3 linked regions of the Schizosaccharomyces pombe genome follow. The gene in region 3 interacts genetically with the main gene of each other region. Each region holds a gene or a part of one and is shown on either strand. Other genes may lie near its edges. The genes, in order: SPOM_SPAC17G6.03, bit61 and SPOM_SPCC18.17C.

Region 1 (10,891 bases), on a different chromosome or scaffold from region 3:
ATTTTATTCATAAGCCTAGTCTTTCTGACTATCCTCAGACCATTTCTACCTTCATCAAATCCTCCTTGTCTCATTTGTTAAAAACTGCTGAGAAAGATAATGACTTTGTGTTTCATGATCTTGTAGTCAAGGAAGTTGAGCTCCCAAAAATATCTCCTTTGCAAGCTCTACCACCACTTCCTTTAGAGAAATTGTATGGAAGTCAAGATGGATTTGAAACTGCAAAAAAAATTGTTGGAGATGATTTGTTCAAGGCCTTTGTGCCTAGCGCCGTTACGACCGCCAGTTCGCTGTATTCAGAGGAGACTGCCAAAGTGTTTCGCGCTGAACAAGCTGAAGTAGAACGACAAAACACCCAAATGGCAACGGTTTTCGCCTCCTTAGACCTTAGCCGGCTTCAAGAAATCACACATTCGGATTCCAAAACGAACTTTATTCCGAAAGAACTTATAGAAGCTCGTTCCCAACTTATTTCTTTTAATCCTACTTTTAAAATTCACGAGTTGTTTGCAAAATCCACAAAGTTGAAGCAAATTATAGCGAAAATTAAGAGTGACTTAGAAGTGGAAGCCAATGAAAATGCCAAGATGAAGGCGAAACTTGGACCCTCGTGGACGTTATCAGATAGCTTAGAGTTTGCCGCTCCTTATCAAAGTGAACTCAACAATTACTTGAAGACCTTGGCAGAGGCTTCCGCTACTGATTCCGCTATATCCCAACAATATGCTTTAGTAAAAGATGATGTAGAAACGTTGTGTAACTCTTCCAAAATTAGCGCATTACTAGAATCGTCCATTTCCTCAACTGATAATTCTGGTCAAAGCTTACTTGATATTCCTATTGAGCAGGAGGAGCAAGAGCGCGATATGAAAATACAGCTTGACTTGTTAGAAGAATTGCAATCCAGAGTTCAAAAGTTAGTTCCTGAAAGGCAGACCACTTTACAGGCTTTACAGCAAAAGTGTTTGCAAGATGATATTTCTGAGTCTCTCATGCAAAATAGTAAGCGGAAGGACTCTGCACTCGATACCAATCAGCTTTTTGAACTAGAATTAAAGAAGTTTGACCCCTTGCGAAATAGATTACATGCATCTTATCGGCAACAGCAACTACTATTGAATGAGATGAGAAATGTTACACAAAAGTTGAAACAAAATCCGGAATTTTTGAGAAAGATGGAAGTATACAATAACCAATTTTCTAAAAATAAAGAGTTATGTTCTAATTTGCTTTCTTCTTCTCTTACGGCTAAAGCTATATCGGAAGGTGTATCTAAGGGCCTTGAATATTATAAAACTGTTGAACAGAGACTTGCCGAAATTAATAAGACCCTAGGAGAGCAATTACTTTTAAGAAGGAAACAGGGTGCCACATGTCTTTCAAAACTTTCATCTTCGAGCTCCTCTCATACAAGTATTTCCTCTAATATGCGAAACCTTCACATCTAGCGCCAAGTAACAATTTGGCTGTTACTTTAGGTTCTTTGTCTTCTAGTGTTTAAGTAAACCAGTCCAACAACTTTATAATTAATAAAGCTTTTTGGTGAGCGGACTCTTTCGTTAAAGTTAGTAAAGATGGATGAATTATCAGAAACGCAAGTTATGCAAAACGAAACGGCTACAGCTGTTCTTCCATTGCTGAACGGCGAGAGTCAATCGTTCAATTTGCAAAAGCATCTTAAGTATTTAACCAAAATGCTAGATCCTCTTCCTTCTCCCTTTACAGTATTGGATGCATCAAGGGCTTGGATGGTTTATTGGGAACTAAGTTCATTGGCAATTTTAGGCAAACTTGACAGCTCTGTTTGTGAACGGGCTATTAGCAGTGTGCGACAGTTGAAAGGGCCTAGTGGTGGTTTTTGTGGTGGGAATGGACAAGATGAACATTTATTGAGTACTTATGCTTCTATACTCAGTATATGTCTTTGTGACTCCACCGACGCATATTCCTTGATAGAGCGCGATCGTTTGTACGATTGGTTATTCTCTTTAAAAAATCCGGATGGTTCGTTTCGAGTTAATAATGAGGGAGAGTCGGATGCTCGATCCGTTTATGCAGCTGTATGTGTTTCTTCTTTAGTGGGAATCAGTATGGACGATCCTCTGTTTGAGGGTACCTTGCAATGGCTTTGCAAGTGCCAAACTTATGAGGGAGGTCTTTCAGGTGTCCCTTACGCCGAGGCTCATGGCGGATATACATTTTGTGCCCTTGCCGCAATTGCTTTGCTGGGAGGTCTTGACAATTTAAATGAAATAAAACTTAGCACTTGGCTTGTACAACGTCAAGATCCTGCTCTTTACGGATTTTCCGGTCGCTCTAACAAGCTAGTGGATGGTTGTTATAGTTGGTGGGTCGGTGCTAGCCATGTGATTGTGGCTTCAGGCTATGGTTCGGCTTCTCATAAAAGCCTGCCTAACCTTTTTTATAATCCAGAAAAATTATTAGGATATATTCTTCAATGTTGCCAGAGTACAAGCGGCGGTTTACGTGACAAACCACCAAAACGGCCTGATCAATATCATACTTGTTATTGTCTATTAGGGTTATCATCAATTGCTTATGACTACAGATATCACACTTCTGATGGTTGGTCCTATAAACCTTCCATCTTACACTCCTCTTTAAGCTCTTTATTACCGGCTCATCCAATTTACTGTGTTCCTTTTGGTTTTGAAGAAAGAATTAAATCATATTTTCTGTCACAAGAATCATCAAAATTCTAATGGTTTATTTATGAGTTGTCTATGGACTTTAATTTTTCATGAGAGGATTTTTTTTATTATTTTAACGGTTTATGTCCCGAGTTTAATATCATGCCTATTTTACTTCTCTATCAGGTATTTACTTCGTCATTTTTACACATGTTGAATAAATAATAATTCTTGACTTATTTGTTATCTTTAAAATCATTAATGTCATTAGAATAATCCTTACTAAAGGAAATAAACCATAGCCTTTTACTTATATAGGCAATCGTGGTCCCAATAGAGATCTGCATATAATGGTAACAAATCAGTCATAGAATGCTTTCCGTCAGGTCTCGTAAAGTAAAGCTCCCAATCGTCAGGTGAATATAAAGGCTTATCTGCAATTTTATTTAAAATGTCGTCTAAGCGTGGAATAACAAATGATGGAGCAACAACGTCAACAACTTGCTTATCGTCTCCAGAAAAAGAATCATCAAATCCAACTTGCGAGCAAATAAACCGCAGCGGTTCATAATGAGGAGTTGTAAGATGAGCAGTGTCATCTCCGTCATCTCCTAAATCATCGTGTGTAGTGTATCCATATGTCTTGCGAATGGAGTGTTCATAAAAGTCCTCAAATTTTGCATCAGAAACTTGTGGAGTGTTAATTTGAAGAGTATCTTCAGCAATCAGATATCCACTGTGTTGTAGAGCTTGTGGCAGGTACTTAGTAATCGACCATGGGACATCTTTCAAAACATAGAATATATTACTTTTAAAAGGACAGACTTGAAAGACCTCGTCTAAGCCAAAGGCACCTGAATTTAGACCACCTCGAATGCCACCCGAATTTACAATAATATAGTGAGGAATGTGATGTCGAGACTCATTGACGACTATTTTTGGAAAAAGTTCGGATTGAAATAGATGATAAATTGAGTTTGAATCGTTAAATGGAACTTCTGAAAATGCAAACTTTTTTGGGGAACAACCTATAGGAGTAAGTAAGCCAAGTGCCTTCCGAGCTTCGTAAATGCCATTAGAAATAAATTCTCCAAGTGAGGTATTGAAAGAAGACTTTTTTGTTTTCGAATGAAACATAAAGCCCTCGGGATTCCAATCAATATAGGAACGAGAGAAGCTGACACTGGCAGATTTAGCACTTTGCAAAGAGGAAAATATCTGCTGAGATGACCGTCTAATACTTTCGCCTATAAATCTCAAGCGCTCAGCTAGATAAGATTCCACCCCCATTAAAGAAGAAATCCCAGATAACTTGACCAACGATTTGAAGGATGGAATGCCGTTAATTGAGACCCAACCAACTGTTTCGCAATATCTTCCTGACTCAATTCCCACTGCTTTTTCATCGTAAATGGCATAATCTCTAATATGGGAATGACCACCAAGTACTTGTATTGGAGTGGTAGGGAAGTGAATCCGAAGCTCTGAAAGAACGATATCAAGCTCTGAGGCATTGTGAACGGGTACATGAGCGGGAATCAGAATCAGATCGATGTCTTTATTTGATACCATATCGTTCCACCATGGCTGTAGCGAGAATTGCGAAACTGGGAGGACACGAACCGTATCAGTAGCACCAGAAAATGAGTTTACAAATCCAAACGCAAGGATTTTAACATTGTGGGGTGTAGAAAAGATGGCATATCGATCTCCAAAGGGTACAAAAGAAGAAACATGTTCATCATATATGTCAATGTTTGCAGCTAAATATCGGCCTTCCCACAGAGGAATGAAATTATGATAAGTATCATTTGCAACAGTTGAGAGATAAAGCTCATGATTTCCAGCAACAAGAATATCATAATCCATATTTGCAAGTAATGAATCTGTCCAACTACCAGGGGGATCTGTCAGATCTGACAGGCCCGTACCATCATGAAGATCGCCGGTATCTACTAGCAGTAAATCAACGTCTTTTTGTTTTGCCAAGTGCTTCATATGTTGAACAAAAGAAGCGAAATCTCCTAAATCTCCTGAATAACGTTTATCTCGCGCATGTCCTGCTAACCAGCCATGGATGTCAGTAGTGTGTAAAATATTGACTTGACCCCATGTCAATTCCCGACGAATTGCCAAGGGCAAAGTTGCTGAATAGCAAGGATTGATAACAAATAAAAGAGAGAAAATTAATGAAAATGTATGGGCAGGTTTCATAATAAATATTGGTTCCCAGTATATAGGGTAAGTGCAGAATCGCCAAGATAAGAAGATCAAGTACCAAGTCACAAGCAGCAAATAGTAGCCAGCCAAACCTTCGTAATATGACAATCATTGCTTCCATCAAAAGTCATGGGAGTTTTAAAAAAGAATTCGTAGTCGCCTATTTTTTTTAATCAAAAATTTCTAAATGAAAATTGCGACGTCTGCAAAACGAGCACGCAAATGCAAGATTTTGAGATCGTCAAATGATTAAAAAGCTTTAGTGAAACACTACACTTATGTTATGCCTTTAACTTCCGGTTGGGCATAAGTATTTAGTAAAAGAAAAGAAGAATTGTAAATTGACAATGTGTGGGGAATTGGTTTGACGAACGATAATAGATAATATTATGCAATATTGTAAGTAATATTTATAACCTTATCACAGAGAAAAACGCTTTTAACCAGAAGTATTCCTTCCGAAAAACGTATATTGTCTTTATTCACCAGAGAAGAGTGCAAAAACAAAATATTGTCATTGTTGCTCAAGAAAATGATTAAGCAAGAAAAATTGGTTTTATAGTAATGCAAAAAAATTTGAAAAGGAAAAAATCATTTTTTCCATTCATGAAAATAAATAAAACCATTGAATCTGGCATTAGCATTGTCTCTTAAAAGAATTGGGATCCCGCAACGATGTATTCGTAATACCATAAATATGTATGAATTGCAATACGAGGAAAAGCCAGATTTTTTGTAGAATTTAAAACATAAAAAAAAGAGTAAAAACCAGGGTAAATATTGCAAAGGAGTATGTATCAATTTGCGTTTCCGTTAAAAGAAGGAGCATTCTATTTCTTTCATGAAGACTGCGTTTGCCAGTATCAATAACACTCTAAGCTTACTTTGTTTAAAGAACTTTTTAAAGATAAACAGCAGCCATTAACAGGGTTTTTTTTCCTCCATCAAGCTTGAAGAAATAAACTCATATACCGATTTAAAATAATAATATAAAAAATAAATATTGAATGGGACGGGACTCGAACCCGCGAGCTTTCGCACTGGCGTGCAATGCGTTGAACGCACCTAAAGCCAGCTCCATAACCACTCGGACACCCATCCTTTCTGTAACATACTAACGATTATGTACATAATATAGCAAGGATTAATAGAGCTCAAAATAAAAATAAAAGGTAATAAAAGAATGGATATGTTGTAATGATTAAATACAACTTCGGTTATTCTTTCATTCAGTATGGTTAACTGATTTAAAATGTCCAAACGATATGTTTCGTACAATACATGACGAAAATTTAAGAAGGAGAAGAAACTCATATTCCACTTCAAACGAAATATCAGGTCATTAATAAAGAGGGTTATACAAAAGAGGAAAATTTAATTTCACATTTTTTCTTTCTTCTATTTGAAACCTGCTTTTCCGCCAATTCATCTAGTCATGGTTTGTATCGGTCAACTTATAGTGACATTTGGTATGGAACAAATGAATGATTTGTGTAAATTTTATGGCGATTAAAGAAACTTCCGCTAAACATTCTATTTCCATTCATTCTACTTAATTAATTAATTTATCCCATCAAACGATATTTTGAAGCCACAAAACTAGGGGCATTCTTTATTGCACCACCTGTGCAAAAAGTCGTCTTATTCACTCATCATTCATATTAAAAGGAAAACGTTTCCTATCATTCCCCAAGTTAGAAAATTAGCATAGTTCATAGAAATGTAATCAAAAATTCAAAAAAAAGCCTTAATGCTGTGAGCCTTCTACGCATTCATACTAGTGATGGAACAGTAACGTTTAGTTTCATGCTTTTTTCGTCGTCAACTTCATATCAGTGCTCAGGTCAACGCTAATAGTTCAATGCTTTAAGTCATGTCAATTTAAGAGGCTTTAAAAAAAAATATCAGAAATTTTTCTTCCACGGTGTCCGAAAAAATCTAAAGGAAAATTTTTATCGAGTAATATGAGAGTAAAGTCTTACGCAGTTTCCAATGCCTATCATTATTGTACTGCGAGTCGGACAATTCAAAATCTCGTTCCTATGCATCATTCTGATTACAAATGCAAAACCGACATTGTCAAAAGCAAAGTGTGACACTTTCGCAAAATCAGTTTTCGTTGCATTGCTAACTGAAGAGCCAAGCTATATCAAAAAAGAACTTCCTAAAATAACTTTTCTTTTTATGAATTTATTATTTTTCATTCCAAGCGTCAATTGGGAACGCGAACGACGATTAAATCGTTTGAAACTCACCGGCAAATTACGTTTATGCTTGCAGCACTAGCTTTTTATTGAAATGACTCTTCCAAACGAAAATACCTCTGCCATTGAAATGGAACTACTGAAAATAGAGTATCTTCGTGAATTGAAATTTAAGCAGGAAAAGCTTGGTATTGGTGAGACAGCAATTAGTCCTCGGAACTGCAAACCCCGAGGAAGGTAAAACTCAACAATATCAAGAAAAAAAAGATTCCATAAGCCACACACTGGTACATAAACTGAAGAATTACTTGTTTGAAATTACTTAGACAGGGTCAACGGTGTTATTAAGAATTCCAAGTACATTTGCGTAATTGGCAGAGAGTTCTTTCTTGTTTCCACAATTTCCAGCACATTCATTGTTGTAATTGTTTTCGTCGTCTTGTTCGAGAATTTAGCAGGCTACAATATTTTTGCGTCCGTAGCTAGCCGTTGTTTAAGGTTACTCCCAGTGTCTTTTTCATTTTCTCCCACTGTGCCGCCATTCACTATTTATTGCGAATCCGCCTTGTTTACGTTTTACTTCATCTTTTTATTCGTTATTGTCGCGTGTCTTTATTTTGTGCTTTTATTTCCCGCCATCATATGTCGCTGAAGACTACCGGACACTTTAACATTGCGTATTAATTGATGAAAGTTTTATTTATTAGTGAATGATCTTGTCGCATAACAGCATTCTCCGTGTTTTCCGTTTTTCCGTTTATTTCAGTTGAACTGAGTTGACTTGTTGTACAAATTAATCGATCCCTTGTTTCTTTGAGTGAAGTTCTTTTTAAATTCTTACTTCTCTTTTCACTTATACACTTCTTTTTTTTTCGCTTTTCTCATATTAGTTACCATGTATTACGATAACGCTTTCGGCTATATCCCTGCCCACTGGGTCACCATCCTTGCTGTCATTCTCTTTAGTATCGCTTTCATTCTTCACGTTGCTTGTCTTGCTTTCACGAGAAAATGGCTCGTTATCGTCCCTATTATCGGTACCATTGGTGAATTGGCTGGATGGGCTTGTAGGTTAGACGCTTCGTACAATCCAGATGACTACAACGCCTTCTTGGGTCAAATCATCGCTTTAATTATCGCACCAGTCTTTTATTCTGCACAGGCTTACGTTTTGTTTCATCACATCGTTCTTTTGTATGGACCTCGATTTTCCGTTTTATCTCCTAAGCTATATGGAGGCATCTTTATCACTTTTGATATCATCGCTCTTATTCTTCAGGCTGCTGGCGGTGGTGTTGCCGGTGGTGCCGACAGTGGTTCTCAGTTACAAACTCAGGGCTCTCAAATCATGTTGGGCGGTATTTGCTTCCAACTTTTTACCATTGTTGTTTTTTCTATCCTGTTTTCCATTTTTTTCATTGCGTTATATACCCATCATCCCATTCGTCCTTCCACTGGCAGAAGGGAACCAGATGTTCCATATACTCGTGTTCGAACTATGTCCTGTAATTGTCTAGCCCTCGCAACATTTGCAATGGTAGTTCGTTCCGTCTATCGTGTTATTGAGTTGGCACAAGGTTGGGAAGGTGCGGTCATTACTCATGAGGTATGGTTCGATATATTTGATTTCATCCCGATGATTTTTACTTCGGCCCTTTTGATTCCCTCTCTATATCCTGCTCTCGAGAGAAGCAAATTGCCTTTCACCGAAAAGCACGTTTCGTCTATGGAATACGCTCCCTCGGAGTATGGCCCTTCGGAATATGGTCCTTCTATAAACGATATCACCAATATGTCTGCTGTTATTTACCCAGATTCATTTTTGGCACCCAAGGATCCCAAAAAATCTTTCTCCTCTGAGGAGCTTTAAGACCTCTTATAAATGTGAGCTATCTATATTCGCATGCATGGTTTCCGCTACGTGTCAAATTTCTAGTACGTTTGTTATTCGTTTTCACTAATGTCTGTTTTTACAACCGTATTATAATTTCTACAAAATGTTTAGATGAGACATTTCTTCTCCTATTTATTGCTTTGCAATATGCATTACTTATTTCGAGAAAATAGTTTGAAGCAGTGTTAAATACCAAGACGTCGAGTGTGTTTATTTTTTATTAAAAAAAAAAAATTACTGATACGACGAATCCCCTTCTCCCCATTCAAGCTTCATCTTTAATATCGTTTTTTAACTCTTTTCGTTGTATATTTGATTAATAATCATAATTATCTATCTATTAGTCGTTTTTTAATAAATATTTTTGCAAGTAATGGTGAGTTGTTTAAACAAAAAGCATATTCCACAATGAGTAATCTTCTGATAATGGAAAACGGTCTAATACATTAATTTTAAAACTGAGATAAAGTCACGACTCAAGCAATAAAGGACAGAAACGAGAAAATACAGTTAATTTTACTCCATGAGATCGACTTGGTTCCTCGGCTGTTGTGCAGAAATTCGGATTGCCATGTTTGAAAACATGTTAAAAGAAATAAATGAGCTACAAGGTAACCCTGGGGGGAAAACTCTCAGGCAAAAATACAAGCATACAGTAAGAGCTAAATAACTTTGTACCATTTACAAAGAATGAAAGATGAAATCGCAAAAATCATCAGACTACCAAGAATACTAAAGAACCAACCAAGTCCTGGTACGTCTTGTCCTGGAACTTTAACATTCATACCCCATAAACCGGTAACCAAGTTCAACGGAATTAGAATTGTACCCAAGATAGTCAAACGTGATAAGACTTCATTTGTTTCATTCGAAACAAGTGTCATATTAATAGAAATCTGAGCCAAATAATTTGAATGACTTCGAGATAAAATTTTTTCGTAATGGTTCAAATTTTGAACCATAGTGACTATGTGATCCTGCACATCACCAAGATATAAAGCAATTTCACCTCTAGGAGCTACTTGCCATGACTCGTTGCATCGTTTGGAAAGACCTCTAACAACATCTGCCTTATTGGCAAGCAAACGTAGCAAACTCATGATCAGCTTGCGGCATTCACCAACGCGCTGCAACATTCTCTCTTGAGGCTTCACTTCCATTACGTGATCATAATGGATACTCAAAATCATGGAATCAATTGTGTCGACTTCATCTTCAATTTGCTCAATGAATGGAGCGAAAGCATCTGTAGTATCGTCCAGCAATGCATATGCGATCCAATCTGCATTCACTGTCAGATAACCATTCAGTTGACGAATCCTTCGACGAACATTAGCTGGATGCGGTGTCGGGTTCATATGAAAAGTAATTATACCGTCACGAAAGACGACTAGATAAAAATTCAACGGCTTTAGGTACTCAGAGTTTGAGGGTAATTGGTTGAATGAACGGAAGGTAACAAAGTAATACGTTCTAAAAAGCTCGACTTTTTCACGATCCTCTTCGAGAGTAATATCTTCAACGGTTAAAGGATGGATTCCAAAAGCCTTTGCCAGAACTCGAATTTCTTCTTCCTTTGGACAAGAGACATCTAGCCACCAAGTTCCTCCAGAATGGAAAAGGTCCTCAAAGCTTTGGCCATCGTGAACGAGTTCCCACATTTCATGTGAATGGATAGTAGAAGGAAGCTCATCGGTAAAGAATGTAAATCGATATGGTTTTTCAATTTCTGACTTACGAAATTGAGCCCAACGATCACGAACACGATAACGGCCATTTACAAGTAACGGTTCACTCAACTTCCTATTTCTTTCACGACGCTTATCAACATCTTCTACCGAATATTCTTCAAAATTGGCAACCATCTTTTTGGTCCATTCATCAAGGACAGAAAACTTTGGTTCTTGAGCATTGTTTGGAGA
Region 2 (10,368 bases), 380 kb from region 3:
ACTCTTGGAGAGCTACTTTTTAACGTAAGTAATGGACTGCATTTAATGTTGTCCAAATGCTCTTGTTATGAGATTGAATTTTGAGCCTCGGAAATAAATTAAACCATCTTTGGATTTAATTGAATCTGTACTAACTAATTTTAGGACCTTTCGCATGCTTTTCATGAAAAATATCCGGATGTCCACTTTGCCCGTGTTTACTTGAGCAGTAGCCTCGAACTTTCTGTACGCTTACTCATTTCTCGGATTCCTTCTTATTATTTCATCGATAATCAAAATTTCTACCGTGTTTCTCCTCAGGTTCTTCCCAAGAACAAGGCAATCGCCTTATATGAAAAAGACGGGTTCAAAAGTATGAAAAAAGAGCAAGGTTTTTTCTCTGTTAACGGGCCCTTGAAGTCCTTTTACTGGGTCTTTGGAAAGGCACTTGCACTTTACGGACACTTAAGTCAAAAATACACCCCTCTTGGAATGAATGTAGCTATTTTTGGGATCTCTGCCTACATAATGTATCGCTCTAGCAAAAAAGCGAAACAAAAACAAGCCGCTGCTGCTGCCGCCGCCGCTGCAAAAAAGAAATAAGCTATGTGGAAAATACTATTAGTTTTTGATAATATCAATTTTTTGAATAATTATACGAGAGTTTGTTACATGTTCTATATGTAAGGCACCGCTCTAGTAAAGGTTTATACCCTATTTGTTTCATTCCTTCCTTTTTTAACAGAACGTAGATTTTCCAACCTTATTGCTTGTTTGGAGATTCATTAGAGGAATCATCTTTTAGCTTAGAATAAACGGCAAAGTACTGCCCGTCTCTTTTCTTAGCATTCTGAAATACATTCCACGGCTCTTGATCGGGTAATGATGGTAGAGATTCCGCATTAATAGCATGATTCAAAGTACGAAATGGTTCCTTAATGAAGGATGTATCAAGTCTCTCAATTGCATGCATTTGAATGATTCCTTCGTTGAGTTTTAGAATTGTTCTTTCATTCTCTTCCTTAGAGTCTGCTTCACGAAGACCAACGAGCCTCAGCAAATGACCATACTCAGTTAAGCCAATTGGTTTGGGTGGATTTCCTTGGAGAATTCGTTTAAGTGAAACCTTTGAAGGTTTCAAAAATGGCATAGTGAAAAGGAAAATAGAGCTAATTACAAGAGAAAAATATAGTACAGGTTAAAAAAAAGATTCAATCTTAAACACTTTGTAAGTTTTTCAAATGCTTTGAAACAGCTGTCGAAGTTGTAGTCGGTTCCTACAATTTAACGACTAGGTTGTAAGTCTGGGTTTTTTTAGAATTAATAGTAAAGGAATATATTAAATCATTCGGTAAGTAAAGTCAATATAATCAGCTTCTCTAATTAGGAGAACTATTTTTCATTACTATGATAACCGTTTCCCATTCCCTAAATTTACGACATCCTGCGATGTCTGTATATAACTTTACATAGCAGTGTTCCAGTACGTAATATTGTTGAATGCTTGCGTAGAGTAACGACTTTATTAAAATTGGTTATTGCAATTGAATAAGGTAATATAAAATGCCACATTATTAGCACTTTAGGTGTCTACATGTTTCGCTATTTTTTAATGATGTATGAGAGTATTGTTTATACCCAAAATTGTAAGCGCATTTTCCATCCTTCTGCCTATTACAAGAATCGCGTAAATCATGAGAAAAATTTGGGAATTAAAAAAGAAAGAAGCTCAAAAAGAGAAAAATGCGTCAGGGATTAGTCCAGCACAAATCCGAATCCAAAAAGGTGCGACTCATCATGTTGATAACTTTTCGCGATTTACTCGAAACTAACCATTTTCGATGAATTTAGACGTTACAGATTTAGAAATCCCATCTACGATGTCTACAAGCTGGCCAGATCCTATAAAATTGAACGTGCTACATTTAGAAATCCGGCCTGACGAAGGTAAGTTTGTGATTCCGCATGAAAGAATATTTGGTGTAGACTTTTTGAGACTATTATTTTTTATTTTGATTAACATGAAAAGGGTATTACAAGGGTGGGAAATTTAAATTTCGAATCCAAATCGACGATAATTATCCTCATGATCCTCCTAAGGTTAAATGTCTAAACAAAGTATGTCAGTCATGCTCTAAATTAGAGTTGCAGCTTATGGTATATTTTTTGCATTTAAGAAAATAACCATTATAACATGTTTTGAACCCTTTCGTTCTGACCTACTGTTAGATCTATCACCCAAATATCGATATTGAGGGAAACGTATGCCTCAATATTCTGCGTCAGGATTGGAATCCAGTGTTGAATTTGAATTCTATTTTGGTTGGATTGCAATTTTTATTCTTGTCACCAAACGCAGAAGATCCACTCAACAAAGGTAGGTTAATTACAATTTTTTGGGGGGCAATGAACTATTTCTTGTTATTGCATTACAAGGAAATGATTATTCATCTCTTAACTATCATTTGATACTCATTTTTTCTACGATCCTTTATTATGGGATTTATAAGGTTCTTTACTGAGGACAATGATTATGATAAGCAATTTTAATATAAGAAATCTGGTTTGCTCCTTAACAAATTTTCTAGATTTATTTAACTATACTAACAAACGATATCTTTTAGAGGCGGCGGCTGATTTGCATAAAGACCCTCAAGGATTTGCATCTCGTGTGCGTACAGCCATGAAAGGTGGTCTTGTGAATGGAATTTCTTTTGACAATGTCATGGCTTAATTTTTCATCAATCTAAATCAATTCGATAAAGATAACCGACATAGATTAGACGACTGTCATGAAAATATTGATGTGTTTTAAATCTCGCTAAATCAGTCACGATTACGATGAACTTCCGATATCAGTATAAAAACACATAACCAGAACCAAACCCCCCTAATAAGCCCGTAACTGCTTTACAATGTTTCAAAGACGATCACTTCTCTCTGTTCGTTCGTCTGGTTCCCAAATCGCCTTTCGTCGATTTGTCAGCGTAAGTACAAGTTTGTTGATAGAGTATGCATTGTAAGTGCAACTGAACATACGATGGCAAATAATTAGACTATCATCTAATTCTGATTGTTTTCGAGAATTCTGTACTTTGCTCTTGTTTTTAGACAAGTATTGATGTTGAGAATGCTTCTTACTGACCCAACAAAATAAATCTTCATTTGTGCTTTCATACTGCCTCATACAGTACTAATTTTAATATTTCTTAAACTGCTTATTAACCAAGTTTAGCTTACCCACAAAGATCCAACTCCTGATACAACCAGTTGCAATATTATCAAGAAGGAAGGGGCGAATATTATATCAGTTTATGCACGCTATCCAGTCGTAGCTGCTAAAGGTGAGGGCTCCTATTTGTTTGACAAGGAAGGTCGTAAATACATTGACTTCACCTCTGGCGTAGCTGTTACATCTTTGGGTCATGCTCATCCTGAAGTTGCTAGACTTGCCGCTGATCAATGCTCCAAATTAGTCCATAGTAGCAACCTTTTCTACAACGAGCCTGCCATTGAGCTATCTAATGTCATTAATAATTCTTTGGCAAAAAATAGCGGTATTGCTGGCCCCACAAAAATTTTCTTTGCCAATTGTGGTACTGAGGCCAATGAGACAGCCTTGAAGTTCGCTCGTAAGGCAGCGTTTGAGAAGTATGGAGAAGGGAAGAGTCAAATTGTTTACTTTAATAACTCTTTCCACGGCCGTTCTTTGGGATCTCTTAGTATCACTGCGAACCCCAAATATAAACGTGGTTTCCAACCATTACTTCCTGATGTCGTCCAAGCCGTCTATAATGACCCTGCATCCATAGAGCAATTTGTCAATGACAAAACTGCGGCTGTTATTGTCGAGCCCGTTCAAGGTGAAGGTGGTATTTGTCCTGCCAAGCCTGAATTTTTGATTGCTTTGCGCAAGGCCTGTGATAAGGTTGGTGCTTCTTTAATCTATGATGAAATTCAATGCGGACTTGGTCGCAGCGGTGATCTTTGGGCCCATAGTATCGTTAAGGATGTCGCTAGTCCCGATATTATCACAGTTGCCAAACCTTTGGCTAATGGTCTACCTATCGGCGCCACCATTGTCTCCAGTAAGATCGCTGCTGAAATTCACCCTGGTGAACATGGCAGTACTTTCGGAGGTAATCCTGTTGCTTGCCGTGTAGGCACATTCTGTGTTAATGAATTAGGGTCATCCAAGATTCTACAAAACGTTAGAAAGCAACACAAGGCTCTTACTTCACGTTTTGATGACTTTGTTGCCAAATACCCTAATCTTATTCGTGGATATGCTGGTCGTGGTCTTCTTCTTGGTTTGCAATTTACCGAGCCCCCTGCTAAATTTATTGAGCTTGCTCGTCAACAAGGTCTTTTACTCTTACCAGGTGGAAACAACAACACCCGTGTCCTTCCTAGTTTGAATGTTAAAGATGAGGTTATTGCTAAGGGTTTGGATATCATGGAGAGCACTTTGAAGGCTTTAAGTAAGTAAAAGTGTATGTTTTCGTAGACTTGGTCATTGAATGGATTGGTTATATAGTGCGATAAAAAGTGATTATTACGAGAAATCTTGTTCCTCGAAAACATATATTAACCTTGCTCTCATTTGCCAACCAAAAAATTTTTTGATAGGGGGGTTACGAAAAGCTTAGCTGGAAGCTTTACATTGTAAATACTGGTTTTCGTTATTCCCTTTCTTTTCATAATCAATTTTGTTTACATTTTTTGTTAGAAAATTAGATATATATTGTTGTTTTTCATCTACTAAACTGAATTGTCGTAATATGTACCGTAAATACTCTGTCAAATGATAGTAATTCACAAAATCAATGTTTTTTTACTGCGTTTTCTATTACTAACTTTTAAAAAGTTATATAGCAAATAACATTCCATGTTTTCTTTTAGCATTAACTATTTTTTTCTTTGGCATACAATTATTATATCAACATGCTATTCATTCAATTCACATTAGAACGATATCGTTATAAGGAATTCTTAATCAATTTTTCGTTTCTATATTTTATCTTAATTTAAGGCGCACATCGATACTTTAGCAAAATACCACCATATTCAAAAATAAACAAAATTTTTTATCTTTCTAAAAAATATCATTTTTTTAAGTAAGTTTAATCATTTTATAATGATTGAACAATGAATATCATCTCATGCTTATTTTGAAGAATCGCATTTCGCGTAACTAAAAGCAAATTTCTTGGATACCCTCAGTACATTTCCAAAAATATTACTAAAGATGGTAGGGAGGGGATCTTTTTCATCTACCTCGAGCGCCTCATCCATTAATTGGATTCCAAAAAACACTAAAACTAGCATTGAAAGTGTTTCTAACACTATTTCGTTGTCGGAAAATGGGCAGAACCAAGACTTGGAGACTGTTACTACTAAGGAATCAAACGTTGGCGACTCTGACACGACTGAAAACATTAAAAGTCCGTTTAATGGACAATGGCCATTTAGCAGAAGATCTAGTCAAAGTAGCAGTCATCCGGTTTTTGAGGAAACACATTGGAGTAAGCATTCCAAGCGCCCAGGAAAGTTGAACGTTTTAACGCCTACTAGCCCTTCTAATGTTAATGCCGAAGTTCAAAGTATTTCTACGAAAACTCAATTATCGCTGCTTAACCTCTCTCCGCATAAGCATAAAAAGCCTAAAGATGGTTTAGATCTTTCTGCTTTGCAGAAAACGCTCAACGGGTCTCGAAATTTCTTAAGAGGAAGAAGAGACGCTGGGGGAATTTTTGGCGCTTCCATCCCACAATCACTTGTTACAAATCAAATAATCAATGGCTTCGGTGCAGCCTCTCTTGCATTTGCTAAATTGGGCAAAGTTCGCTCTCCTTTAGAAGGTCGCTTTAACCTGGTTCCCATATCCGCGGATGAAACTTGGCTTATTGTGGAATCCGAAGTTTGTAGTTTATATTCGGGTGAGGCTTTGCACTATTCTCTTGAAGATTTGAATGGAATTCTTATATTACATTTACAAGCTCTTATCCGTGATACGAAGATGAATGAGTTTGTTGGACACTTGGAGACACTATTCCGTAAGGCTACCAAGTGCCTTTCGGACAGTTTATCGCCTGTTCCAGAAGAATTATTTTTGAATCGTATCATAGAAACATGGCTGTTTTTCTTTTCTTCCGTATTGCCATACGTTCAAGGTGTGTTTTTACCTATAAAGACAAAATTGTTTGATGAACAAGAAAAAACACAATTACCCTATGAAGTAAATGAGTTTTGTTCCACAAATAGGGAAAAACTAAATGTCCATCGTCTTGCATTGATGACATTTCGCGATTATATGGTTTTGCCAATTGCAAATCGGATACAAATCTGTATTGGGCGTGCCGAATCTGCTGAAAATGCTTTAGATAATGCAGGAGAGGTGTTCGCTCGACTGTTTCAGATATTAAGTTTGTTGGCAAGTGTACGAACGAACGATTCCAAGGAACAAGAAATTACTAATTTGGCAACTAAAGTCAGATGCCTGTTGATAGCTTCCTAAATTCATTCTTAGATTTTTTATATTATTTTTCCTTTTTAAAATCGTTTCAGTTTTTTTTTTTACCTTCTTATTTTATAGGGTCCACACTTTTCAATATTTGCAAATTGTTCTAAAACTTAAAAAATTTGTGTCAATACTTGATATTCCCAGTCTTTTGTTTTCATCATTAGTTAACGATCAGCTTTTGTTTATGTCCACAATAAATATGTTTTTAAAACAAATATCAAAAATAAAATAGGTAATCTCGGGAATTACAAGTAATATGTATTTTAACTATTGATGTTTTCTAACCATTTAATAGCACAAGAGAAGGGTAAATAATCAATCGTACCAGTCGGATCGCATAGACATCTAGCTGTCGCATGCGACTGTACATCCGTAGGGCAATGGTACCAGGGTAAATGGTAATAACCAAAGTCCTCAAAGTAATGTATTTGCGATTTGTTCAGAAATAGCGATGCTGCCAGTGAATGTACGGGAGCATCCCCCCAGCGCTCGTAAAAAAATCCATAATTTTTATCTAAGTGCGCAAAGTAGTCTGTGTATGCAGGACTTCGAAAGAAATTTAAATTGGCAATTTCAAAATTACTCCAAAAATGGCAGAGATTGTAGTCACCACTTAACCCCTGGTGGTCATTAACGATAAAATCCAAGGAGTTATTTTGTGCAAGATATTGTGGGTTTTGGTGAATAAAATCTCGAGTAACGTTCCATAAAGAAGGGAGGGTTTCATAATAATCCGTCATTGATATGACAAACCCATACGCCTTATTCTCGTCACTCAACTTTCGAAAAGGATCACTTAAAGAATTGGTTAGTGACAAAATTCTATCATATTACAAAAACAAGAGTTAAATAGTCAATTTTTCTTGTGCACTTACTAAGGTATATCGCAAGAATATTCAACGCCGGGTTCAACGCGCCAGTAATAATCATAATGTGAAAGGGCTTTGTTTCGATAAAAAAATCCTGAATTGAAGCGACACATGATCCGATAACTCAGTGAAAATCCATATATTACTTTGTCATCGGTCATATCCCGAATTGATTTCAACATACGATTTAAATCGATGTTTATAGGAATTCCCCACTCTTCGTTGTTGAGTTGGACATAGGTAGCATCCCCACTCACCATTTTTGAAGTAGCTGTTATAAATTCTTTAGTAAAAGGGGCATCATTCATAAATGTCCATGGGTAATGATAGCGATGATTGAACCGATCCTCGACGCTTTGTATGGAAACAAGAGCGTCCTTAATGTCTCTATTACGGCAAAGCATAAACAAAGTAGCGTTCATATTGGGCTGCTTAGGAAAATAATCTGAATCTGTCAAGGATGACTCTCCTCTTTGCTTTGCTGTGGCTTTTTTTAGAAATACATACTTGACTTTTAGTTCCTTAGGCCCATCTTTAGAAGACTGTAAATAGAATGAAATAATGCAGAATAATAGTATACAAAAATAAATTGATGATTTGGGTATGCCCATGTTGAAGTCATGAATATGGCCCCCTTATATTAGGATTTCTTATTAAATCGCGGAAGTTTTTTTTTTATTGATTGTGAATGAACTTTATAACATGGTTCGATTGTGTAAGATACGCCAGTTTGCAATATTTTCGCAAGCAATCAATCTGATATGAAATAACTCGTTGGACTAAATCAACATTAGATTTGTAAACAATCAGTAACAATTTTGGTTTATAAACGATCATTTGGGAATGTTTTAAATTTCAGCTTTTGCTAATTCCAAACAAAGTCTTTAGAAAGATAGAGGGATTGTTTTTTAACTGGTTATGCAATATACAGCTCAAAACTGTTCCACTCTTTCACACTTTTTCTCTCTTACCTTCTAGTTAAGGATACCAGAACAACATATATTTAAAATTATTTTCCACAATTGGTAACTTCTAGGCAAAGGTAAACGATTCGAGATATACTGTAAACGTTGCTCGAAATGAAATAATCGTCAAAGGTTGGAATATCCATATTTGAACAAGTATGGTTGGTGTAGCGGATTGTCTTACTGTACGTTATTCGATAAACATTGAATAGCTTTTTTTTTTTAACTGAGGTTACGCAAAGAAACAATTTAATGGAAAGTAGTTCATTTTAAATACACTCAATTCTCGTTTCTTTTTAACAGCTCCGTCCATGGCAGATTAGCGCCTATAATAATGAATAACCCCAAATAATTTGCATAATTCTGAGAAAGTAGTTTTGCTAGCTAGTATCCTAGGTTCACTTTTTTAGTTTTTTTAGTACAATAATTTTGAAGCTTTACCAAAGATTCCACCATAACATAAACAAATATTTAAACTCAACCAGCTCGAAATTCAGTAACGCGCTCTACCATATTTTGGAATACATATGAACTCTCTTGACATTAATCTTGGGAATAGTAGTTCTTGAAAAGTCATAAACAGAGGATTTAGGTTTTCTTGGTGATTTCTATTAACTACCAGCTAAAATACTCGGCTCAAACTGTATGATGGCAAGTATATTATACTACACTCGCTTCGCAAATACCTTATGCTTGATAAAGTTTTACAAGCGATGAATGATTTTTTATTTTATTTTCTTTATTTTTATTTGTATTTTATATTCATTTAATATATGTATATATTATTAATTTATTTTACTTTGTCGTAGTCAATTTTTTTTTTATTTTACAGTGATTCATTGCTTCTATAATTTTTAAAACAATCCAGAATATTTAAATTATAGTGTCTAGATATAACAAATGAATTCGATATCTCACGAATTGATTGCTATTATATATACTTTGAAAATAGCAAGTGAACTTTTGTTTTTACGAGGAATTTTTCTTTACAATGTCTTTTTTTCCTTTTTTCCATTACTTTCAAAGTTTATTCAAAATCAATATTGTTTTACTAATACTGCAACAAGCAATGTATAGTAATCAGCAGTTACAAATATATCAAAAATTGTTATAATAATTCATGAGTGTGTAATTCAGTAATTAATTAAAATATTTGATATCCAATTGTTTATTTCGTAGTATTTAGAAATTCATTCGTAGTCGCAACACATCTAGTTCTTAAAAGATGTTTTTAAATTAAATATTTCGAAAGTTTAATTATTGGTTTACCAATGTTTTGTATTTGCATTTACGTTGTCTTAACGTACAATTAAAATTTAATTATTTTATGAATTTCATTTACCAATTGATTTTATACCGCAGCGAGGAAATAAATAATCGCTAAACCGTATATTGTAAAACTAAACAATTCGATATTAGAAAGATTACGCGATTTTTATCATTCGTTATTCAGTGATTATTAATGCGCGGCAGGCCTTGAAATATGTTTCTGCAAATTTAAACACTCGCTATCCATATTTTAGAATTAATTTTTCATTCATTCAATTGGCAATATATATTATACTACCAATTGATTTTTTTTTCATATATCCTAGTTTTGTTTCAACTGGGAAGAAATCCAAGTAGTGAATTCTTGGAAATTTAGTCGTTCATTTGAAACGTGTGCTTATTGACGAGGTATTGAAAGGTGAATTATTCGGAAATCTCTTTTATACCGGATAAGATGACCAAGGGAACAAGTAAACTGCTTTTCATGGGGACTGGTTGCTCTAGTGGTATTCCCAATGTATGTTGTTTGACACTTGAAAAACCAACTTGCCGTACTTGCCTCGCAAGTTTAACACCAGAAGGTCGTAAAAATAACCGGTTTAATACAAGCGTGTTATTACAGGTGGATGATGGGAGTGGAGATCGTCCAAAAAACATCTTAATCGACTGTGGAAAACATTTTTATGTTAGCGCATTGAAACATTTTGTGGAGCACAAAATTCGATATCTTGATGCAGTCATCTTGACACATGATCATGCAGAT
Region 3 (10,787 bases):
AATCACCTTACCGCTTGATACATTAAGGTTCAATCACCCGTACATTTGCCAGCCTACAAAATTTCCTTATTTAATTACCCTTTACTACAAATCCCAACGACCGTAGTAGCAATCTTTAAAGATAATAATTTCTTTGAATACGTTATAGTTACATAGCAACTTATCTGAAAGAAGCCGTTATATTTAATTAATTAAACGTATTCTAGAGCACGCTGAACTTTGCATTTTATTGTTTAACGAAAAGAATACGTGTACGTTGTGGTTTGCTATTGAATTAACCAAACGGAAGAAAATCCAACTCACAAACATTGGGATAGTGACGCGGCAAATATAATTACGAGATTCTCTAAAAAGCGTAACCGATCTGATACATTAGTAAACCCAGACAAAGCGAATTTACCAACTTGATAGTACCACTAACTGGCATTGAAATGAGTGAAACTGGAATTATCCCAAAGAGTACAGATTACACGGATTGGCCTGCTGATGTTTGTAAATACTCTCAAGTCTTTGAGGATGTTTTAGTCGTTGGGACATATATGTTAGATGAATCGACAAAATTGCGACATGGAAAATTGGTGCTTTATGATACCAAAGAAGATGTACTGTATGTTAGATCAAAAAATTCTTGAAAAAGTACTAATTTAGATTAGAAAAAGAGTGTTTGACATGCACTGCGATGCAATTTTAGATTTTAAATGGTAAGTTGCCAAAACGGTCAACGAGCAGAAGTTCATCAAAAGAATTAAAAGATTGGCGTAAAATGATGAGGGTTTTTCGCAACCATGTGATTTAGTCAATAATACAGTATCCTGTCGTAAATCTACAGTTCGTATCAAGCCACGGTTTCCCCTTTTGACTATACGCTTTCTTGAGCTCATGCTATTCACACCTTTGTTTTGAAGGCTAGTCAAGAAGGTTTATTTCGGTGTTCAAAAGAAAGCGTTTCTAATCAGTGGTGCAAGTAAATAATCCGTAGTCGATTTTTTAAACGCGGAAAAAGGGAGTAATTATACCCATATTATTCCACAACGCTCTCCTTTTACCTTTTCTTCGTTTTCTCTAGTATTTTCACTCCATCATTGAACCTCGCCTTTCTCCTGATTCTCAGTTGTTGCTCGACGCTTCATGGATTATACCCCGTGGTTTTCTTTTCTCGCGACTTGATACTAATTCATCTTATAGGTCTCCTCATGATGCTTCTGTATTAGCTGTAGCTCATTCCACCGGCCACGTTTCTTTTTATCGCCATCAATTTCGAGCAGAACTTATGTTTTTACGTGGTATCAAGGTGGCCGATTCTAGCGTCCTTATGCTGTCTTTGGATTTCTCGGACAGCGGAAAGGAGCTAGCGGTCTCTATGTCAAACGGAAGTGTTCTTATCATCGATATCGACTCTGGTGTCATTAAAAACAAATGGAAAGAGCACGATTACGAAGCTTGGACGTGTCATTATTCTCGTCAAGACAATAACCTCCTTTATTCGGGAGGTGACGATGCTGCTCTTGTTTGCTATGATCAAAGAATCCCCAATTCATGTATTTGGAGGGACATTCAAGTTCATCATTCTGGTGTTGTTTCCATCCTCTCTCGAGCCCCCTTTGGTCCTTATATTGCTACTGGCGAGTATGGAGATTTTATGCATACGTTGGATACCCGAAATATTGGAAAGCCACTTTTTAGTGCTAATCTGGGTGGTGGTGTATGGCGTCTTGAGCACATGGAGACTACTGAAAATTATCATAAAGTCCTTGGCATTTTAATGCATCGTGGTGCTCAAGTTTTACGAATCTCTAATGATTTTAGTTCAATTGATGCTAGCAAACGCATTTTTAAGGAGCATGAAAGCATGTGTTACGGAGGAGACTGGCGTCACACCGATGGTCTACTTGCTACTTGCTCGTTTTATGATAAAAGAGTTTGCCTTTGGGAAGATATTTAGCATGCATTCGTTTGTTTAGTAGACTTTGGGGAGGAGAATAACGGGCATATTTTTTCCTTTTTCTTTTTTTGCATGTTTGCTATACAAAATTTGTGTAGAATAACGTTGTTCATAATCGTTACTTTTCCATTTCTTTGTTTTATCTTTACAAACAGAAAAAATGATCATTTACGTTCTTGTTTTCGCTTCTTTTTCTTACTTACTGACTCTCTTCCACCTGTCTCTGTTCCTTCATTGTTTTTTTTTTTTTTTCATTCTCATCCGACCAAATACTATCGTTCTTTATAATCAATGAAATACAATAAATGTTTATTAAAATAAAAAAAGTTTAAGTACGATTATGGCAGTACTATTGTGTTCACAAAATTGTAAATCTTTACAGTCATTGCCATCTGAAATTAACAAAATGTATTTAAAAAACAAAAGCCAATCTAACCAAATACTTATTAACAAAAAGGAAGAGAAATTAAAGAAGGAATAATACAGCAGGATTTATTAAAGCATTTTGGCAGCGGCAAGGATGAGTAAAAGTACACAAAAAGATTTCTTTTAAGGATCTTATTGTATTTTATACCTTGAAAAATGGGTCCTTCTTATAGCTAGAATAAGAAGGACGATCCATGCTATTTAAAGCAACTCTAATATCGGTGTGTATATCTTCGATTAATTTATCTAAACCGGCATAATTTAGCTCAGGCCTAATGTATCCCAAAACAATAACACGCATTATTTCTTCGTAAAAATCTTCACCTTGTCTTTCTATGAGATGCACTTCTGCACTTCGTAGCTTGTTTTTATAGTACGGATTCCATCCAACACTCATCACCATGGGGAATACTCGTTTTTGTACCATAGCATATCCAAAATAAACACCAGAATCTCTATATCTAAGAAGCTCTTGAATTGCATCTTCTGATATATTTGCAGTTGGAATTCCAAGCTCTTTTGAGCCTCTACCAAAGCCATGAACAACTTTCCCTTCGAAGCGAATAGGATAAGGGCTTTGCACCTTTTCAGGACCAACAATTTCAGGCCTCTTTTCTTCTAAATTAACTGTCATAGAGTAAATCAAAGGTTGCTAGCGCAATTGGAAAAATACTAGTGGAAGTAGGTAGTTAGTAAGCGTAGCTCAGCCTAATGAAGAGAGTCATGTTGGACAAATATTTCCATTACGCTTATTTTAAATTAGTTTAGTTGATATCTATGAATAACAAAAAAATAATAAAACAATTGGTTCATCAACCATTGACCATCAATGGTTAAATCTCAAGGTTGGTAATAACCACAAATGCTCAACGGTTGTTTAACTCTATTATGAATTCGTAAGTTTAATAAAAAACTTGCGTTTGATATTCAAGAGGAATTAAAGATTTAACCTTAATATAATAGCGCTTGGTATTCAAGCAGTTTTACAGCGCTGTTCTGGGCACAAAATAAAATAGTTATTAATTAAATTTTTTGAGAAACAAGTAGACAATTGCATAATTATTAGATTGACAAAAGGCCTTGGGTGGCATCCATAAATTCCGTCCCCAAAGACTGCCAAGTGAAAGTGAAATTGCAATTCATAAAAGCTTTCCATTTGTGAAAATATATAGGACTATAAATATCCATGTTAAGAAACTAAACACTATCCCTATAGCTAACAGCCATTTTTTTTTATACATCATATTTCAAAAAAAGCGGCATACGAACCTGACGTTTAAGGAAGTCGAAAAAGAGGGAAAATTTTGCTTGCTGTAATAATAGAAGAAAGCAAGATTTTTTGGAATATAATAGTTGTAAACTACTTAAGCAGTTTCTGCGGCCACTTTTAACGTTGAAGCACCGCTAACAATCGGCCCTTGCTGTAGTCTTTTAAGAATGTCTTCCCGATATCTACCAAAAGGTAGCTTGGGTCCGCCATGAGGAGATTCCATCATGGTCTTTAACACTTGAAACCGCAGTAAGCATGTTTCATGGTCACCTTCTGCTTCAAGTAAATGACGGATAGCGAATCCTTCAGAAGCAATTTGGATAGGCGAATTTTGAGCAATGTGTAGCAAGCATTGGTATGCTAGTTGCCTAGAACGAGGAATCGGAGAAGAAGCAGTGTTTACTAAAGTGCTCAAGGTGTTGGGAGGTAATATTCTCCAAAGCTGCATCCACAAATTATGATCAGGCTGTAAAAGAGCATGAGCAAAAGAAGACATACCCGGTTCGTCCATCAAAAATCGTCTTGTCAACCATCTTGGCACATAACGATTAGCTTCGTCCTCAATGCCATATTTCTTGATAAGTGCTTGAGTTACCACTGTGTTAGACAAAAAAACTCCGTAAAGAAGAATAGATGTAGCATCGTTCGTCTTCATTCTCTCGCGAACAGCGTCAAATAGTTGATGCTTCTCATCCAACGAGTTAATAGCGTCTGGATGCAATTCGCAGAGCCTGGGAAGGAACTTTAATCCAATATGATCCGTATAAGAATCCGCTGAACCTTTGTAGTCTTGAGCGATCGTGTCCAAATACTTTGTTTTTTCAGAACTTATATACTCGTATGTAAAAGGAGCCTCTAACATTATCCCAAGGACATCCACGAAATTAATTTGAAGCAATATGTCTTTATTGTCACCATTAATTACAAGCTTGTCGTCCTTAATCAGTTCTTCCAAATATTCTGGAGACTTCGTAGACAGTTTTGCGAACAGTGTCAACCAGCGTACCCTCAGCGTAGAGTTCATAATTTCATAGTCAACAAATGTAAAACGCTTTATAATTAAATTAAAGTAGTATGGAAAATCTGCCATATCGAATAGCAAAACAGTAGCTTCTTCGGAAACTGCTATGCTTCGAGAGTTGATGCATGCCATAATCGCCTCAAACAGTGGTTCACCAATCTCCTTCTTTTCCCAATTTGCACGGCGTATAAGGTGCAGACAAAAGATTTCGACATCTGTAGAAGGATGTTCAAGTCCAGTAACCAAGTAAGATTCAATTCCAAACTTTTTCAAATCGGCCCAACTCATTGGCTCAAGCAGCTTACCCAAAGCCTTCATAATCGGCTCGGTAGGTATTGGAAGCTCAAAACAACTAAGTATGGTATCCAAGAGTCCTAAGCATGATGGCCTTGTAGCAGGCGTTATACTTTCACGGAACGCATCTATGGCATCAGGGATTTCACGAACGATAACCGACGGGTTTGAAGGGAGATCTTTCAATAACTGTAATAGTCTTCTACCGGGTCCTGGTAAGCCTGGTATGAGTTCTATACTATCCATTTGGCTTGTTTTTAACAGATCCCGTATATTGGCGATGGATCGGCTGAAATCAGGCAAGAGGCAATTTTATCTCGTTTAAGTAAGCTTAATTTTAACCGAGCAACCGAATATCAAGGAAATACACATACAAAGAAAAGGGTATCAAACACCTTTGCATTCTTGGTTTACGACTATAACTGTAGGGGTGGAAAACAAAGAAACACTTAATCAAAATTACGCATTAATCTACTTCACGAACTAACCATTTTTTTTAAATGAGTGCCTACTATTTTGTTTGAGAGCCTATGGCTTGTGCAAGAAAAAAAAACTCATTTAACATAATGGGTATTTTTGCAAAAAAGCTAGTTAATATTATGAGAAGGGGAATGATTTTCGTAAAAAGTAAGTTGAGAGAAGATAAAAGAGAAGGATGGATAAAGAGCATGAAAAAGGATAAAGAGCAACAACTGATGATCCAATATTAACGGACCAACAAGTAGAGTGGTAAAAAATTATACTTTCTTAGCTGAAATCATTAATTCAGGGCGAACCCATTCATCGAATTGCTCGGGGGTACCGAAACCCAAAGTAACAAACTCGTGCTTGAGAGTGCTCTTATTTTTAAGAGCAGTCTTGGCAATCTTGGCACAGTTATCATAACCGATGTGAGGATTTAACGCAGTAACAAGCATCAAGGAATCACGAAGATGACGGGCAATACCTTCGTAATTTGGCTCAATGCCGACAACGCAATGATCAGTAAAAGACTCGCAAGCATCCCCTAAAAGACGAATACTGCTTAGAATGTTCTTTGCTAAAAGAGGTTTAAAAACATTGAGTTCACAGTGTCCGGAGGCACCAGCGACAGTAATAGTGGCATGATTGCCCATTACTTGAGCACAAACCATTGTTAAGGCTTCACATTGGGTGGGGTTTACTTTGCCTGGCATGATTGAACTTCCAGGTTCATTAGCAGGAAGGATCAATTCGCCTAAACCACAACGAGGGCCAGAACCAAGTTGACGAATATCGTTAGCAATTTTCATAAGAGAACAAGCAATAACATTTAAAGCACCACTCATCTCCACAATCGCATCATGGGCTGCAAGAGCCTCAAACTTGTTAGGGGCGGTCTTAAACTCAATATTTGTAAGCTTTGAAACCTTCTCAGCAACCTTCACGTCAAATCCTTCAAAAGTATTTAGTCCAGTACCCACGGCAGTACCACCTTGAGCGAGAAGACAAAGACGAGGAAGAGCGTTGTTTATGCGCTCAATGCCATAACCAACCTGAGTAACATAGCCGGAAAATTCTTGACCTAAAGAAAGAGGAGTGGCATCTTGCATGTGGGTTCGACCGATTTTGATAATGTTCTTAAACTCCTCTTCCTTACCCTTCAAGGCCCGGTGGAGGTGCTTCATGGCAGGAAGTAAATGAGTGTGAATTTGCAAAACAGAGGCAATATGCATAACAGTGGGGAAAGTGTCGTTAGAAGATTGAGACATGTTAACGTGATCGTTTGGATGAACGGGCTTTTTCGAACCTAACGTACCACCAAGGATTTCTATGGCACGATTAGCGATTACCTCGTTACTGTTCATATTGGATTGGGTGCCCGAGCCAGTTTGGAAAACAACCAAGGGGAAGTTATCATCCAAACGACCATCAATGACTTCTTGGGCAGCCTGTTCAATGGCATCTGCAAGTTTGGGATCCAAACCGAATTCACGATTAACAGAAGCAGCCGCACGCTTTAAAACTCCAAATGCGCGAACTAAGGGAAGAGGAAGTCGCTCTTTTTCACCACCAATTCGAAAGTTTTGAAGAGAACGCTGAGTTTGAGCACCCCAATACTTTTCTGCAGGGACTTGTATGGGACCAAAGGTGTCAGATTCCTGTCGGAACTCGCCATGCTTACCGCCTTTGGGAATGAGATGATAAGTCGGAGTAGTGGAATTCATTCTATGAGTTTTTAGAGGTAACTAAAAAATAAAAAGTTAGTGTCATACGCAAATTGCATAAATCAATAGAGTAAAGCGAAATAGATGTGACTCAACCGCTGCATCTTGCTGAAACCGCGAAAGCTGGAACTCTGTGCCACGCCATTGTTCATTCGCAAGAGTAGATGGAACCAACGAAAGAAACAGAAAAACGAAGTGTATTCTTCAATTTCTTCAGCCGTATTCGAGCATTACAACAAAAACAAATGCCGACACATCAAAACACTGAACTTATTCTTTTCATAATAATATTTCGTGGTGTTAGTGGATCATGCGTTTCAATGGGATAACGCACGACTAAACAAGGCATATCACAAGAGTTATGGAATGAACGGTTAACAAAACGGTTAAACTAGCAAGTAGTCATTTAATAAAAAAAGAGAGAAAACAAGTACGAAGAGCAACTCTTCTTTTTTTAATAGGTAACTACTTCGCAACATTCATGACTTTTTCTCTCTCCAACCGATTTTCACGGAGTCTCATTCTAAAACACAAATTACAATTTACTTACACCAGTGAGTGTTGGGGTAATCAATCTTCTGCAAGGCAAACCGCCAGCTCGAAAAATCGCTTTAGCCGTGCTGATGTGGGCAACAGAAGCCATGTGGGTTATTTTAAAAAGAAAATTATACTCTTCTGAATAAGGCAAATTTTACGGGGATACGGACAATTATCACCGTTACAAGTAGTAAACACTGAGATGACGAACAACCTATCGGAAACCTGAGGATGGAACGAAATGGAGAAAACTACAAAACCGATAAGAAAATTGAAAAAAACAGTTTTGTGTATTTTATTTATCCAAAAGAAAGATGGTTTGCAAGTGCTCACTTCGGTAGACCGGTGGTTATGAGACTGATGGAACGGGACAATAACTACGGCAAAGATAGCAGGTACAAGGGGAGGACTCTGAACAAAGTGGAAACAACGTACTTCACAAACGATTTACGAAATTTACCTAAAATAAGAGAATTTGATACAAAACAAAGCCTTTTCCATTCAAAATTGGAAAACGCACAAGAATTACACGATCTTAAGAGTATATGGTAGAAAGTAGAATTGAGTTTCACTGAATACGCGTATACACCGGCATTCATTCCGCGTTACTATTTGTTACCCAGGTTGCGTAAGGTTGTGAGCTTTAAGATAAAGATGCGTTACAGTTCAGTATATAGAATAAGGATTTATGTAAGGGTGCATAAAAAAGGTAGTAGGTGAGTACACAATTCATTGGTATAGCAGGAAGAAGAGGAGAAGGATGAAGAAGAAAAAGAGGTTGCTCAGATAATCAAAAATAGAGAGAAAAGAAGCAAGACTTTTTTTGTTCGTATGCGTAATTTTTTTTTACTTGTAATGAGAGCTCACCATTTGCACAAGTTTTGCATACTATAATAATATCGCAATTTATAGGAATATAATCAAATGCAGTAAATAAATAACGATCTGTAAAAATGATTATAAATGCATTTGATTTACCTTCCCAATGGTGAAATCTCCTTTCTATGCATTAAAGATCCTTAGACGATTTTATTTTAAAATCAGAAAATTCCTTTCAAACTTCATTTTCTATTTCTCTCTTCTTATACAACTAATTTTTAGTAGCCAACAACTTACAGCAACGTTGCGACGCATTCGCAATTCATTTTAGCATATTGATTTTCCGCTTCTTTAAACGGTTTCCTGGTGAACATGCAAATCTGGCATTCCCTTGACTGGACATATTAATGGAAAATTAGTTAATAAACTGCTCTAGTTGGTAGATCTAGACGAAGCGATAAACGTTTTTGGTTGCTTTGAACATTTTATTTTGTGTTTTTCTTCTTGGATTCATTCATGCCTCTTTTTTTGAGTGGTTGAAAATCAAAATTTTTTCTATTAATATGAATATTTTTTTTAGCTATTTAGCTTAAAATTGCATAGTTATTGGTACATTTGGAAGTTGAAAACGCCAATTTTCACTTGTTTTTTCTCAACTAGTTTTCAATCGCTAAAAACTTTCGTTCAATGTCGCAAAAAGCCTTTTTCTCAACAGTAGCCCTTTTCAAATCATTGAAATTATCCGGTTTTCTTTAACATCTTTAACACTATCTTCTAAAATGTTTTCTTTCAGATTTCCCTTGTATCTCAAATGTCTATAACATCCACATGTAATTTGCGCCGTATTATCATTTTCTCTGTTTAACGGAAGAACCAAGTTTAATAAAATGGATCCAAGTTTTTTAAAATCAATTAATAAATGAACAATATATCTCCCTTAACTGACTTTCATTCAGATACCTCACTTCCATACATTCCTAACAAACCTCTATTAAATAATATTCTACTCTTACTATATGTTAAATGCCTAACATTTACCTCTTTTATAAAATTCATATTACTATATTGATGATCTGACAAATTGAATATTATTATAATAGAGAGCCAAGTTTTCTTAATTGTCGCCCTCTGCCACTCCAACCGAGGTGGTTTTTGGTTGATGAGGAGAGCCTCGTAAAAGTTGAAAATTTTTGTCTCTTCTTTTCATTTTTAGTTTAAAATAATTTATTATAGTATATTGGGTATATTGGAATACCATACAACGCCCAAAAATACTGCGGGCAAACGTGGTTAAACCCTCAACAGAAAACTTTTATCTTTCACTTTCAACATGGCCGACCAACTGCGTACTCTTCCTAAGAATGCCAAAGTTATATACGAGCATTGCTTAAAACAGATCCCAAATTCGCTTTCACAACAGGATTTAGTAGAAGCGATTGGCGCTTCGATATCCGTGAACGATCTTAGTAGTGCTTTAAATATCCTTCTAAGTCGGCGACTTTTGGATCCTTTGCGGCAAGGAAATGTTCTCGTATATCGGGCTGTTCGATTGGATGAAGCTAAAACGTAAGTCGGTACTCACCGAAAAGTTTAACTGTTTAAGCTTTTCGTTGTTGATCAAGTTTTAAATGTCAGAAACTCAATGCATTTCTTGATCTCTTATTGTAGTATAATATAAAGTTTTTACGCCAATTTTAATCATGATTTTTGTTTTGTCAATGCTAACATTCTTCTTTTTAGTGTTTCTACCATGGAGGGCGATGAACAAATCGTGTACAGTTTTATCAAGAATTCTGGCAACGAGGGAATATGGAGGAAAACCTTAACACTAAGGACTAACTTGCATGTTTCTGTTGTTGATAGATGTCTGAAGTCGCTCGAGTCAAAAAATCTCGTCAAGTCTATTAAGAGTGTAAAAAATCCGACTCGAAAAATATACATGCTATATGATTTAGTTCCTAGTACAGAGCTTACAGGAGGCCCCTGGTTTACCGATCAAGAGTTGGATGTGGAATTCATCGAGAACCTAAAAAAGGTGATCTACAGATATGTACATTCTAAAAGCTTCCCTCCCAAAAAGGCTGCCATGGGTCCTGACCTTGTTTGGGGTCCCGAATACAATGGATACCCTACAGCTTTACAAATTCATAATTGGCTAAGAAGTACTAATATCACTAAGGTTGATCTCTCCTTGGCTAATGTTATTTCCCTTGTTGATGTCTTAATTTATGATGGCAAGGTTGAGAAAAGGTCGGATGGTGCTTCTTACAGAGCAATCCGTGTAAATAATGA

The links.
Region 1: mutations in SPOM_SPCC18.17C (region 3) and SPOM_SPAC17G6.03 together harm fitness more than expected from each alone (negative genetic interaction), as found in Schizosaccharomyces pombe (one large-scale study listed by BioGRID).
Region 2: mutations in SPOM_SPCC18.17C (region 3) and bit61 together harm fitness more than expected from each alone (negative genetic interaction), as found in Schizosaccharomyces pombe (one large-scale study listed by BioGRID).

What each region holds. Positions count from the first base shown.
Region 1 is NC_003424.3:3,587,029-3,597,919, reverse strand, and holds SPOM_SPAC17G6.03 (phosphoprotein phosphatase), read right to left. Parts: upstream 4,883-10,891; 5' UTR 4,866-4,882; coding exon 2,958-4,865; 3' UTR 2,853-2,957; downstream 1-2,852. Other genes in the region: bro1 (vacuolar protein-sorting protein), read left to right, coding at 1-1,448; protein farnesyltransferase beta subunit Cpp1, read left to right, coding at 1,575-2,723; tco1 (RTA1-like protein), read left to right, coding at 7,971-8,945; vacuolar CorA family magnesium ion transmembrane transporter Mnr2, read right to left, coding at 9,632-10,891.
Region 2 is NC_003421.2:1,607,424-1,617,791, reverse strand, and holds bit61 (Protor homolog, Bit61), read left to right. Parts: upstream 1-5,028; 5' UTR 5,029-5,227; coding exon 5,228-6,496; 3' UTR 6,497-6,745; downstream 6,746-10,368. Other genes in the region: SPOM_SPCC777.12C (ER stress response thioredoxin family membrane disulfide oxidoreductase), read left to right, coding at 1-24, 145-582; protein Gta3, read right to left, coding at 743-1,129; NEDD8-conjugating enzyme Ubc12, read left to right, coding at 1,674-1,764, 1,831-1,926, 2,009-2,097, 2,209-2,356, 2,604-2,713; arg1 (acetylornithine aminotransferase), read left to right, coding at 2,895-2,966, 3,215-4,468; alpha-1,2-mannosyltransferase Omh3, read right to left, coding at 6,766-7,297, 7,378-7,982; SPOM_SPCC777.06C (hydrolase), read left to right, coding at 10,060-10,368. UniProt on the Schizosaccharomyces pombe protein: Component of TORC2, which regulates multiple cellular processes to control cell growth in response to environmental signals. TORC2 is required for cell survival under various stress conditions.
Region 3 is NC_003421.2:1,982,941-1,993,727, forward strand, and holds SPOM_SPCC18.17C (proteasome non-ATPase regulatory subunit), read right to left. Parts: upstream 5,236-10,787; 5' UTR 5,200-5,235; coding exon 3,733-5,199; 3' UTR 3,394-3,732; downstream 1-3,393. Other genes in the region: dph7 (WD repeat-containing protein), read left to right, coding at 432-607, 654-701, 1,186-1,942; riboflavin kinase Fmn1, read right to left, coding at 2,511-3,002; fum1 (fumarate hydratase), read right to left, coding at 5,691-7,160, 7,690-7,782; DNA-directed RNA polymerase III complex subunit Rpc34, read left to right, coding at 9,826-10,061, 10,236-10,787.